Linked DNA regions of Ovis aries. The protein of the gene in region 1 binds, or shares a complex with, the protein of each later gene. Links are inferred from orthologs where the notes say so. Each region holds a gene or a part of one and is shown in the gene's direction. Other genes may lie near its edges.

Region 1 (6,611 bases):
ATTACTTAGGAACCTCTACCAAAAAAGGGCAGCACTCCTTCATTTGCATGAAGCATGATTATTAAATAAAGAATTCCAATTTTTAAAATCCCAGAAGTTAATCTACAGTGATATTTTTATTATTTAGTAACATTGCTATTTCCAGTCCCTGAAACAAATGGAGATGAAGGTCTGGTAGGATGCAAAGGCAGCCTCACTACCCTTCTTCACAATACACCAAGACACAGGTCACCCCAGCGGAATTCGCCGATGGAATCTACTCCTGAATTTCTTGCTAAACTAGAAATGTGAGAACTGCAGGGTTTCTATTCTTAACAGAAAATACAAACATGGCATGACTATATTATTGCTTATGCAGTATAAAAAAATGTGATTGAATATATTTTTAATAGGAAAGGAAAAGACATGTTATATGAAAAAAATATATATAAAACTGCATGTATGATATAATTTTAGCTATAAAAATAAACATAAATTGGAGTAACATGTATACAAATATAAATCTAAGTCTTATAAAATATTTTTTAAAGAGGAAAAAATAAGCTTCTCAAAGGTATCATTTATTAAGCTAAGGAATGTTGCTGTAACTTTAGAAGTCACTGGCTCTTTGATTAAGATTCCAGAATTTGGGAAGTCTGATTTCTGCACTTTGGCATGTTACATATATCAGTTTATTGTTTTGGATTTTGGTTTTTTGAGTTACTTTTGGAGTGGTTCTTTCAAAATATGGCGGGTTCCTCTGTTCTATTATATACTCCAAAATCGTAAGCTCATAATGAAGAACACTAAGATATGGAAAGAATGCAAGGAATTACCAAAATATAACTGGCTTGGGCTGGGTTATGGCAAGTATCTAGCTCACATAGTTGCTATTGGACAGAAACGATGGTGGTAGTGTTTTCTGACCAGTGTGTATAACTTAATAGTATTTCTCACCTAACTCTTCCTGAGAGTAAGAAGTAGAATTAAAACCACTATAATATACAGAGAGATACTGCTATCATCTGATGTTGTAAAGTGCTATTTTAGAGACCATATTAAAAAGAGCCAGGATAGAAAAATTTTACTTCTCACAAAGTGTTCAATAGAAATAATTTGGAATATAGATAAAAAACTATACACAAATGTTATTGACCCTATTTATAATACTGAGAAATCAGAAATAAATATCCAATGGAAAGGTAATGTTTAAGTAAATATTTTGTATATTCAGTAGAACCATGTGCATCTTTTAAAATTATGTTTGTGAAGAGTATATAAAAGCATGGGAAATGTTTATGTCATAATAGAAAAGGAAATAGGCCAAATTATAAATTATATATAATATAATCATAGCTATATAAAATTAAAATATTCATGAAAATATTGGGAATAAATTTATCCCAATATTGAAGTGCTATTTCTAAGTTATAGTAATGCATTTTTTCTTTCTTCCCACTTTATGTATCTTATAAATGTCCTATACTGAGTTTATATTACATAATAGTGGGAGGAAAGAGTAAACAAAATAGATCTACTAACTAAGATGTGGTGGTCCCTTCACCTTAGAAATTGCATTCTAAAATGTGACATTGATTGGCCTCCTACCCATGAAATTATAAGAAGGCTTCTAGAATATTGCCATTTTCAAAGCTGAAAGTTTGCACTCTATAGTTCTCTTGTGCTGTTGATCAAAAAGAAGAGATCTGTGTACTTGGCCCTTTTTCAAAGAGAGGTTTTCGGGTTCCCAGAAAGCTAAAGGTGGTTTTAAGCATGCTAGGGCAACGAATGCCCCTCCTCAGTGCCTTTATGTATGACAATGTCGTCTTTGGAACTGGGCAGAAAGCAGCTTCCAGCAAGCATGTCACACACACACACCCTTGCTGAGTAAGCACTGCCTCCTTGGTGGCTCTGACTGAACTCCAAATACATCCCTTAGTTTTATCCCTCATCCTGGGACTGAGGAGCTGGCCAGAGAGAATTCCTGGCAGCTTTCATAATCATGTCTGTTTAATTTGTGGGGAACCCTGTAGAGTTTCCAAAGTGCCTTCATCTGTATTACCTCATCGTGAAGGTGGAAAGGGAGGACAGGTGGGTGTGCTCATCTCAGATGAGACGTAGGCAGGTTGAGTGACGCCTGGCTGCCGGATGGCCGAGGCGTCATATAATACTCCAGGTCACATAATACTCCAGGTCAGAATCTTAGTTTTTCTCTCCTGTCCTGGCTTCCTTCCTCATAATTTTTTTCATTTGCTTTTTATTACTATGTACTTTTAGTATAAGAGAAGCAATTCAAGGTATTAATTTTAAATAAATAGGGGAGACATTCTTCAAGAAATACCATTTTTATAGTAATAAAATTCTGTATATAATACTTTATATAGAGACATGTATATACTGTATGTAATGTTATTTGGACTGTTATAAAAGTATGGTATACTACATTAAGAGAATAGAATCAACAGAACATAATGACTGACAGTATATAGGAAATGCAATACAACTTATTATGCTCTTGTAAATAACAACTGTTCTACTTGAATTTAATCACAATATAGGTACTTCAGTTAGTAAGTAAAGAAATTTGCTTAGTAATTCAGAGTTTTCAAAGTATAATTCACTTGTCCTATCTTTTATGTCCTGTGTTTATCCTCACCATAACCCATTTTACAAGTGAAGAAACTGAGGTTGAGTGGCTCTAGTCCGGAGTCACAAAGCTCATGATCAGAAAGCCTAAATATATAGGCTGTAGGTGTTCTGGCTCCAAGTCCCAAGTTACTCAGCCTTGAATAATAGATGAGTCTGTGCTGAGCATGTAATTTCTTTGGGAAAGCAGGGCAGCAGGTGAGGTGCACACTGGGCCTTCCAGTGTGCTAGCCAGGCTCCCTAGCTTCCCAAGTGAGTGCACATTTTTAGAGAAGCCCTTGGTCCTACAGGAAAGTTGGTTTCAGGTAAATGCAGATTGCTGTAGAAACACAGACAAGGGGCGTGGATGAAGCAATAGAAGATGGATGTGTGCCTGTATATTTGGTGCCAAGATATGTGCCATAGATAGCAGGCATTTTGGGAAGTCAGAATAGGAGAAGATAGACCTTGCCAGGATTCGACCATATGTTTTTCTCTACACATTTCATTTTTTGGTTTATGTATACACAAAATGGTATGTCTCAGAGTTATGGCATAGTATCATATTTTAAGATAAAGCTTATCTCATGTATGTATACATTAGTATGGTCTCATTAACCAAAGAATTTAATTTCACATTTTTCTGTTTTATTCTTCAACAGATGAAATGCATAATTTAACCTGCCTAGTGGTAAAAGCGACTGGAATAGGAGAAGTGGATTTTCTAAGATTTGATCCTATAGCTAAAAAGGCAAAAACTGTTAAATATGATGTGCAAGCTGTAGCTGTCATTGTAGTGGCATTGAAACTGCTCTTTTTATTGGATGACAATTTAGAATGGTAAGTGTATGTAGTCTTAGGAGAAAAAAATTTTATTATTTTCCCCTAATTATTCAGAGTAAAGGGCTCCATATGTTATGTCTCAGTAGAAAGTAGAGACTCTGAGTTGTTACAGAACACTGACTAGTAGCAGCAGTTACTCCTTACCTAATGTTTTGGCTCAGGTATTTGTCAGAGATTTCATTCTCCTTTAGTAAGTTGTTTGGATCATGTTTTCTTCCATTTTTAGGAAGATGCACATGTGTCTCATTCTCCTGAGTTTTAAATCATACACAAATTCTAAAGAGTCACTAGCACTTCATCCATGTACCTTTTGGTTTCTGGCACTATGTGTCTTCAAAGATTATTTTGGAAAGTGAAAGAATCTTAAAATGCCAACAAAGAGTGGCAGTGTCTTCTTCCCTATTTCAGTGCTTGCTTCTGCATTAAAAGTTGGCATCAGTTTCAAGTACTGTTCTATACTTCTCTTTCAGAAGAATTCAAAATTTAACTGTCTTCTAATGAATGATTTCCAAATAAATTGATTTGTTTATTTGTGTCTCCAGGTCTTTGTCTAATATTGCCAAGAAATATAATGAAAAGAACAAAGAAGGTACTTTTTTTTTAATCAATCAAGTGATTGTAAAAGGTGAATTAAAAGATGCAATAAATATAGAGAAGAAGCTGAGAAATATATAAATTGTACCTTGTATCAGACTGTTTATATGTGTAGTTATCTAGTATATCTTCTATTCTCAAGGAGGTATAGTCAAATCTAGGAGAACAGACATGTAAAAAGATGGTTTCAATATGTGGAATCTAGAAAAATAGTAAAGATCTTATTTGCAAAGCAAAAATAGAAACAGAGCTGTGGAGAAGAAACGTATGATTACCAGAGGGGAAAAGGCAGGGGCGTGGGGTGAATTGGGAGATGGGGATTGACATCTCTACACTGCTATGTATAAGACAGATCACTGATGAGAACCTGCTGCGGAGAACCTGCTGTGGAGCTGCGGGAGCTCTGCTCAGTGCTCTGTGGTGACTTAATTGGAAGAAAGTCCAAAAAAGGGGGATATATGTGTATGTATGGCTGATTCAGTTTACTGTACAGCAGAAACTGACACCACAGTATAAAGCAGCTATATTCCATTTTTTTTTTTTAAAGGTAGTTTTGGTGTAATACAGGGCCACAGTATAGGTGAGAGCTCAGAACAGAAGGGAGTGACAGCAGATTGCTCAGGAGTCATATTAGAGCATGAAGATAGTCAGTCCCTCCATAATTTCCAAGGGCTGGCATATAAATGTTCAGTCAGATCAGTGAGTAAAGACTCAAATGAGCAACATGTGTTATAATAATGTGACATACTTGGTTAATAATCATGGATTTCATTTCTTTCAGATAAACCATGGTTTGATTTCAGAAAATGGTACCAAGTTATGAAGAAAGCTATTGATGAGAAGAAACAAAAGTGGGAGGAAGCCAGGGCAAAGTATGTTACCTCTTCTAGCTTTAGATTCACCTACTTTATTTTTCAAGTCTATTGCTTTACGTCTGAAAGCTCAAGTTTCATCAGTTCAGATTCACCAGCATTATGACCCTTTTTTCTAGAATTAACCCCTCTGTCTAAACTGACATTTTAAAATATTTCTATTAACTATTAGTGAGTGAGTGAAAGTCGCTCAGTCATGTCCGACTCTTTGCGACCCCATGGGCCATTATAGTCCATGGAATTCTCCAGGCCAGAATACTGGAGTGGGTAACCTTTCCCTTCTGCAGGGGATCTTCCCAAACCAGGAATCAAACCGGGGTCTCCTTCACTGCAGGCAGATTCTTTACCAACTGAGCTATCAGGGAAGCCCTATAATGTCCTTTTAGGGGCGTTCCTGGTGGTCCAGTGGTTAAGACACCACACTGCCAATGCAAGGGAGGTGGGGTCCATCCGTGGTCAGGGAACTAAGATCCCACATGCCACACTGTGTGGCCAGAAGATTTAAAAAATAGTAATATTAGTGTCCTCCTGATCCAGAATCCAGTCCAGGCAGCCTGTATTGTACTCAGTACTCGTCTTTTCGTAATCTGCATGACTCTTCTCTGCATTTCTGGTATTCCTCCCTCTTTCGTTTCCCACAGTGGATCAGTTCCCATCTGTGCTTCCCGCTGTTACAAAAGACTGCAGACGTCAGCCTGTGTCATTTATAACTGGACTGTTCCTCCAAAATAAAGTTCCCGATACAAATCCAAACAAAGCAAAGCGGAAAGAGAGTAGCATGTTTAATTCAGGCAGTCTCACTGTTTGACCTTGAGCTCTCCTCCTCATGTAGGTCCATTGTTGTCGTTTAGTTGCTAAGTTGTGCCCAACTCTTCGTGACCCCTATGGACTGCAGCACGCCAGATTCCTCTATCCATAGGTTTCCCAGGCAAGAATACTGGAGTGGGTTGCTGTTTCCTTCTCCAGGGGATCTTCCCGACCTAGGGATCAAATCCGCATCTCCTGAATTGGCAGGTGGGTTCTTTACCACCGAGCAACAGGGAAGCCCACCCAGGTCCACCGTGGCGGAGTGGAAAGAGCATAGCATTAGAGACAGTGCAGGGGTAAATCCTGATTGTTTAAAACCAGCTGTTTAACTGCGACCCAGTTACTTAACTTCTTAGCCTCAGTGCTCTGAAATGTAGTCAGCTCATAAATTTTCAGAGATACTGTCTTATGTGGTAGAGGGTACCTTGCCCTAGGTTTCTGATTTGAACGGATTTTATATCTGTTCTTGGAACTTTGAGTCCCTGTGAAACTTTGAAGAAAAGGTTAACATTTCTGTAGTTTATGTAATTTTGCAACAGTACTCATTTGATAAAGTCATTTTATATCCCCTGAGAAAAATCAAGATTCCCCAAATTAGTTAAAATGATAACTCCAGTTTCTTCATCAATAAAGTAAGGCTAATAATGTCTCCTTGATATTCTTAATCAAGAACTAAATTTCAGTGTTTGCAGATAGAATTAGAATATTTCTCCCCTGAATTTAAGAGAGCTTTTAAATCTAGAAACAGACTTCCAGGGATGCATAAAGCGCTGTGGGAGAGAGGATCCTTGCTGAAGAAGGGAGGAGATGGGCAGTTTCTTCCTGTTCAGGTTGGACAGATAGTGAGGGTGAGCTTCTGACAGCTGTGGGCACCCGGGGAACGGAGGCCTT
Region 2 (6,200 bases), about 200 Mb from region 1:
TTTTGGTGGATTGGATGTGGGGCTGAGAAAGTGGGAGATGGCAGGAATGACTCCCATGTCTCTGGCTTGAGCAGCTTGGTGGATGAGTTACTGGCGTCATAGATAAAATAGGGTCTTCTGTGCTGTGTGACTGGTGGAGGAAGAAGTGCTTTATGTCTTCTGGAGAGAGGAATCCTTTGATTTTTTTTTAGATTGGTAATGTGAAGGCCCTCTTTTGTGTGGGTTTTCCTGTCTGCCTAACACTCTGAGGTTATCTGTTCACTGAGTCAGAAGCCTTCTTCTCGGTTCTTCTGATGCCTTTCCATCTCTCTCCTCTTGATTCTGCCTCCTCCATGTAGTTCAGTCCTGTTCCCGTTTCTCTATTCCTAGTGCCTCAGCCTGGTTTAGATCTTTATTGGTTTTCATCCGCATTACTGCAGAAACTTGTTACCGGTTTTCCTGCCTTGAGTCTGCTGTTTGCCTTTCTGCTGCCAGAGTCGACTTTTTCTCCTACCCACATGATTGGTTACTATTGGTCTTGCTCAGTGTTCTCTCTGCTTCAGCCCTTAGCCTCTACAGAACGTTCTTAACAGAGTATCCAAGAGTGATCCTTTTAAATCTTCAGTCACTCTGTCTCTCCTCTGCTCAGAACCTGCGTCTGGTCACTTCTCATCTCATTCCGAATAAAAGCCAAGAACATGCACAAGGTCCTCCGTGATCCGACCGCCTGCTCCCTCTGTGGTCTTATCTCTTCTTGGTATCGCTGTCATGCCAGGGAAGTTCCAGCTCAGGACCTTTGACCGTGCTGTTCCCTCTTCCTTTTCCCTTAGTTATGCACACAACCTGCTCCTCAGCCTCCTTCAGGTCTGTGTTACATGTCACCTCAATGAGGCCTTCCCTGACCATTCTGTTTCAAATCACTGCATTTGCTCCTTCCTCCAACATCACCACTCGGACACTCCCTGTCTTTTCTCTCTGTTTTTATACTGCACATTTTACTACTTATTTTATTATTGTTCATCTCACTGTATTCCTGGGTTGGAAGATCCACTGGAGAAGGGATAGGCTACCCACTCCAGTGTTCTTGGGCTTCCCTGGTGGCTCAGCTGGTAAAGAATCCACCTGCAATGCAGGAGACCTGCCTGGGTTTGATCCCTGGGTTGGGAAGATCCCCTGGAGAACGGAATGGCTGCCCACTCCAGTATTCTGGCCTGGAGAATTCCACGAACTGTATAGTCTGTGGGGTCACAAGGAGTCGTACAGGACTGAGTGACTTTCACTTTCACTGTATTATAATGTAAAGCTGTATGGGAGAAAGAACTTTCATCTGTCTTACTGCTCTGTGTCAAGCACTTAGAATGCTATCTGACAAAGAGTAAGCACTCAGTAAATATTTGTTGGCTTAATTTTGTATTACAGAATTTATTCTCCTGTCTACCCTGTTTGCACCTTTTGGGCTTATCATACCCCATGATTAGGCATCCAGGCTGAGTACACTCTCTTCCCTCGTGTGTCTTTGCACATATGCAGTTCAGCCTGTCTGGAATGCCCTTTCTTTCTTTCCTTGTTAGCTTGGCAGCTCGTACTCATCCTTGGAGACTAGCCCAAGTCTCATCTCTGGACTGTATTCCTAACCCCCAGGATGAGGTAGATGCCCCTCGCTTTCTTGTGTAGTTTGTGGCACACTGCCACGCTTTCATAGCACTTGATGTTTTGTTTACTCTTGCCTTTTCGCTGGACTGTGAATTCTTGGCGAGCAGAGACTCCGTCTCAGCACCTTTATCATGTCTGGCACATGACAGATGCTTAATAAGTGGTTGTTAAATATATACATGTGTAAAGATGGGGTGCTTCTTCCTCTTCTTGGTTTGGGTGAGGTTGTCTGTGCTCAAGGACTTCTTTGTATGGGACCAACTCTCTCTGCTGGATGAGGCGGCTGGCTTTGGACTCCTGATCACGATTCCTCTTTCACTAGCTCTGAGACTTTGGCCACGTTGGCTAACTGTCCAGCCCTTTAAAATGAGCATTGTAATCCCCACTTGATAAGGTTTTTGTGAGGATTAGGTGAGGTGTTAATAAGGCAGTTGTGTGGTCACTGGCATGCAGCGTGGAGGCGCTCACAGTCACTGTTGTCGTTGTCCTGCCCCTCACCCCCAGTGATACAGCCTGAGATTTTCCCCTCTTTTCTGCCTTTGTGTCCAGGAGGGCCAGGAGAACGTTGAGATTCTCCCTTCTGGAGAGCGACCGCAGGCCAACCAGAAACGAATCACCACACCATATATGACCAAGTATGAGCGAGCCCGCGTGCTGGGCACCCGAGCCCTTCAGATTGCGTGAGTATGAGCCCCCTCACCATCGTGTCCTTTGGTCAGGCCACAGGGAGCCTCCGAGCTGTTGATAATGGCCCGGCCTGGCAGCAGACCCATCCCTTTCTCACAGGCTGAACAAAGGCGGCGCCATCCCCATGTGCCAGGCGCTGTGCTAGACCCCTGTTCTCGGGGAGATTGTTGGGGGAATAGGACATAAACAGCAGAGAGTAACCGTGAGTGTACAGAGTGTGATGACCGCCCGTCAGGTGGGGAAACGAAAATGAACGCAATAAGATCAGACCTAGACCCTTGTGGGCTGGGTAGTTGGGGTGCCGCCACAGCTCCCGCTGGGCTTAAGGTGGTTCTTGAGTAGACTGGGGCCAGCCCAGGGGAGTGAGAGAGCCCTCCACGTTGAGGCTGCACTAGGAATGTGGAAGCACAGAGCAGTGGTCGGGGGTGTAGGGGGTTGAAATTAGCAACCCTTCCTTTCTCTCCCAAGTTGGGAACTTGTTGAAGAACAACATGATTTGGGAGCCAGCCAGTAGCCAAGTCAGGTCAGGTCAAAATGTGCGGTGCTCACATGTCCACCCATGAGCCACAGGCATTGCAGGGGTCAGAGGCCGTGTCTGCGAGGGCGTGGGCCTCGTGCAGAACAGATCCAAAAGCAGCCCCCTGAGGACAGGTGGCTTTGAGGAAGCAAGGGCTCTTGAAGAGGCTGGGCCACAGCTGCTGGCTTTCCCTGCCAGGCTTCCCTGTCAGATGAACTCCTCCTCTGTTCTGGCGAGACTTAAGTGGGAGGACACAGAGGGCAGGCGTGTTACTGTTGCTCTCATGGCAGGTCCTGCCCAGGGAAACAAGAGGCTGCAGAAAGGAGCCCTATTTCAGACTTCTTACCAGCTGCTGGGGGAAATGGTGGACACCTGAAGGAGGGGTGCTTCGAGAAGAGAGGAGTGGGAAACAGGCTTGAAAGAAAAGCTGGGGTCAGAGTTGTGGGGTGATAAATATGCTAGGGGAGCGGTGATGCTCAATCTGTGTGCTCCCTGCCCAAAGTTTTCAAACAGTGTTGGACTTTATCTGTGGAGTGAAGGTGACCACTCGGTGGAGGGTCTTATTGGGGCGGGAAACTGTTGTTCTTCACTCACTTGGCAGCAGGAGGCCTCCTGCCAGCCTGGTTGCACCCCTTGCTGGTCTGGGTGAGTTGAGAGCCGCACCCCGTATGATGATTTCAGTGTTGCTGGGGTCAGGATCCTCTAGGCCTGCACCACAGGTATGGTCACTGCTCCCTACATTTGGCCATTTAAATTAAGTAAAACTGGATAGGAGTTCATTGGAGAAGGAAATGGCAACCCACTCCAGTGTTCTTGCCTGGAGAAACCCAGGAATGGGGGAGCCTGGTGGGCTGCCATCTATGGGGTTGCACAGAGTCAGACACGACTGAAGCGACTTAGCAACAGCAGCAGATAGGAGTTCAGTGTTTCTGTCTCCTTAGTCACATTTCACGTGCCCAGTAGCCTCTGTGGCTACCGTGATAGGTAGCACAGATAGAGGACATTTCCATCCTTGTAGAGTGCTAGAGGGGTAGTATTCATGTCTGCTGAATGCCACCCAGCAGGAAGAATAATTCATAATCTGTTTTTTAAACAGATAAAGTGTATGCAAGTTAAAGTCTTTCAGCACCAAATAAGATATTGTGCTCATGCCTTTTGGAGGTGTAAAGAGGATTAAAGACACAATTCCCTAGTCCTCTAGATGTTTACTGTCTAGTAGGGAACGGGAGCCCGTTCTAAATACTCAGAACCCAAGGCAGACGAGGCTGATGCTTTACAAGAGAAACAAAAGGAGAGAAGAGAATAAAGTGACGTGGTTTTGAAGGTCTCCTAGGTGCCAGAAATAGCACTAGGAAAGTGAAGGCAGACATGTGTGGATTGTGGTGGAGGAATGGCAAGCGCTTGGGGCACAAGACTGGAAAAGATGCCACTGGTCCCTTGAGTGACAAGTTTAGAAGATGGGCATGCGTTGGGTGGACAGTCGAGCAGGCATTCCAAACAAGGCCCAGGGTCCTGCCTTCCTTTGGAGGTTAAGACTCTTGTCCAACCCTTTGGGGCTGTAGCACTCCTTCAGATTAAGAGCTCAGAGGCTGTCTGGTGGTTTCCCAGCTGCTGTAAGCCCTTGGACAGTCAGGGCTGGAGCTTGTCTTGAGTTATGGGCCTGCAATCCTGCACTTAGTAAGTGTTAGTTGTTCAGTTGTGCCCGACTCTTTGCGACCCCATGGACTGGGGCCCACCAGGCTCCTGTGTCCATGAGATTTTCCAGGCAAGGATACTGGAGTGGGTTGCCATTTCCTTCACCAGGGGATCTTCCCAACCCAGGGATCGAACCCGGGTCTCCTGAACTGCAGGCAGATTCTTTACCAACTGAGCTACAAGGGAAGCCTGTGCTTAGTAGTAGAAGCTGAACAATGTTTTCTTGGGTATTTGTGGATGAAGTCTCACTCCAGCTCATTAGCCCCATCTGGTGGCTGAATGGTTGCAACTGTGCTGTGCTGTGCTCAGCCGCTGAGTCGTGGCTGACTCTTTGCGACCCCATGGCTGCTTCCCAAGGAAGGTTGCCACTTGGAAACCCTGGTGGAGACATTGAGGGCACACTCTCACATTTCCTGTGAATGTAGCAGGGCTGGATGAATGACTGCTCTTGAATTATTCATATCTTGAAAGAAATAAGGCATATGCATGTCAGGGAAAGCAGTTTGCCACATTCTTAAATGTTGGGGGAAGTTTAAATAATTATTGAGAGAAGATATAGAGAAAGTTAAATACTTGGTTTCTGCCCCTGGGGAATTTTCAGGCTTTGGGGAGTAACAGACATCAGAATATTTAGCAATAAAATTAGTAGATCATTTAGTGTAAACTGGTGGCTCTCAGACTGGCTGGTTATCTGAATCACCAGGGGAGCTTTGCTAATATAGGTTCTCAGGCTCCTTCACTAGAGAATCTGTTCAGCGGGTCTGGGGAAGGACCTGGGAACCTGTATTTTTAGCACGCTCTCCTATCAGGTTTGGGGTCCATTAGTGTAAACTTGAGTTGGAATCAATAAGGGTGACTTCCTAGAGGAGATGGGCCTGGAACTGGTTTGTCTGCTTTTAGACCCTCTGCTGTGGGCCAGGTGTTGCACTAGAATAGAACTTGGGGTCCTGGACCACCAGGTCTTGTTTGGAAAACTTCAAACGGGAAGTCACAGTTTAGTGACAGTGGTGTTGAGAGAAGTGTGTGTGAGATGAGTCAGGGCCCTGAGGCTTCAGCGCGTGCTTTCCAGGGTGGAGACCTCTGAGCCTCTCTCAGGCCTGTAAGAAGAGGAAGCAGTCGTGTGAGGATGCAGAAGGGAAACAACAGGGCCTGCATAAGAAGCTATAGTGGTTTGATGTGGCTGGAATGTAGGGTGAATAGAGGCAGGTAGCATGAGAAAGTACTGCAGAGGTGAGTGGGGGCCAGAGGAGGTCCTGCCTGCCTGTTGGCCATGGGGTATCAAGGAAGAGAGGTAAGCAGGGGAGAGCCTGACCACAGGCCTTGTGTAGGGGCTAGAGGAGCAGGACCCCTGCAGGGGGTGTTGCCAAGACAGAGAAGGAAGACGAGGCGAGCTAGGCCCTGAGGCAGGGCTGGGGGTTGAGTAGAGTGATCAGAGGGTGAGCTCTTGCACATGTGGGTCCTTTGTGTGGGAATATTCTGCTGTGGCCGTGGGCTCAGGAGTCTGTGACAGGCCCTGGGGAAGGTCCTTGGCCAGGGTAGTGGACGTGATGAGTGTCACACGACCCAGTAATGACAGCTCACACTTGTCCCTTTCACAGTACCTGGCTTCAGTTTGTGGATCACCAGTTTTTTAATGGGAGGTGTTACAGAATAGTAGAGAGGAGTCTTC

What was found. Proteins that work in one complex are often made in the same cells at the same time.
Region 2: TAF1B (region 1) and POLR2F share a complex: the UniProt entries of both Homo sapiens proteins name them as parts of the pol I pre-initiation complex. The link is inferred for Ovis aries from reciprocal best matches to the Homo sapiens genes TAF1B and POLR2F.

Annotation. Positions count from the first base shown.
Region 1 is NC_056056.1:19,134,626-19,141,236, forward strand, and holds part of TAF1B (TATA box-binding protein-associated factor RNA polymerase I subunit B), read left to right. Parts: intron 1-3,266; coding exon 3,267-3,444; intron 3,445-3,989; coding exon 3,990-4,036; intron 4,037-4,822; coding exon 4,823-4,913; intron 4,914-6,611. UniProt on the Homo sapiens protein: Component of RNA polymerase I core factor complex that acts as a GTF2B/TFIIB-like factor and plays a key role in multiple steps during transcription initiation such as pre-initiation complex (PIC) assembly and postpolymerase recruitment events in polymerase I (Pol I) transcription.
Region 2 is NC_056056.1:215,578,334-215,584,533, forward strand, and holds part of POLR2F (DNA-directed RNA polymerases I, II, and III subunit RPABC2), read left to right. Parts: intron 1-2,181; coding exon 2,182-2,312; intron 2,313-6,200. UniProt on the Homo sapiens protein: DNA-dependent RNA polymerase catalyzes the transcription of DNA into RNA using the four ribonucleoside triphosphates as substrates.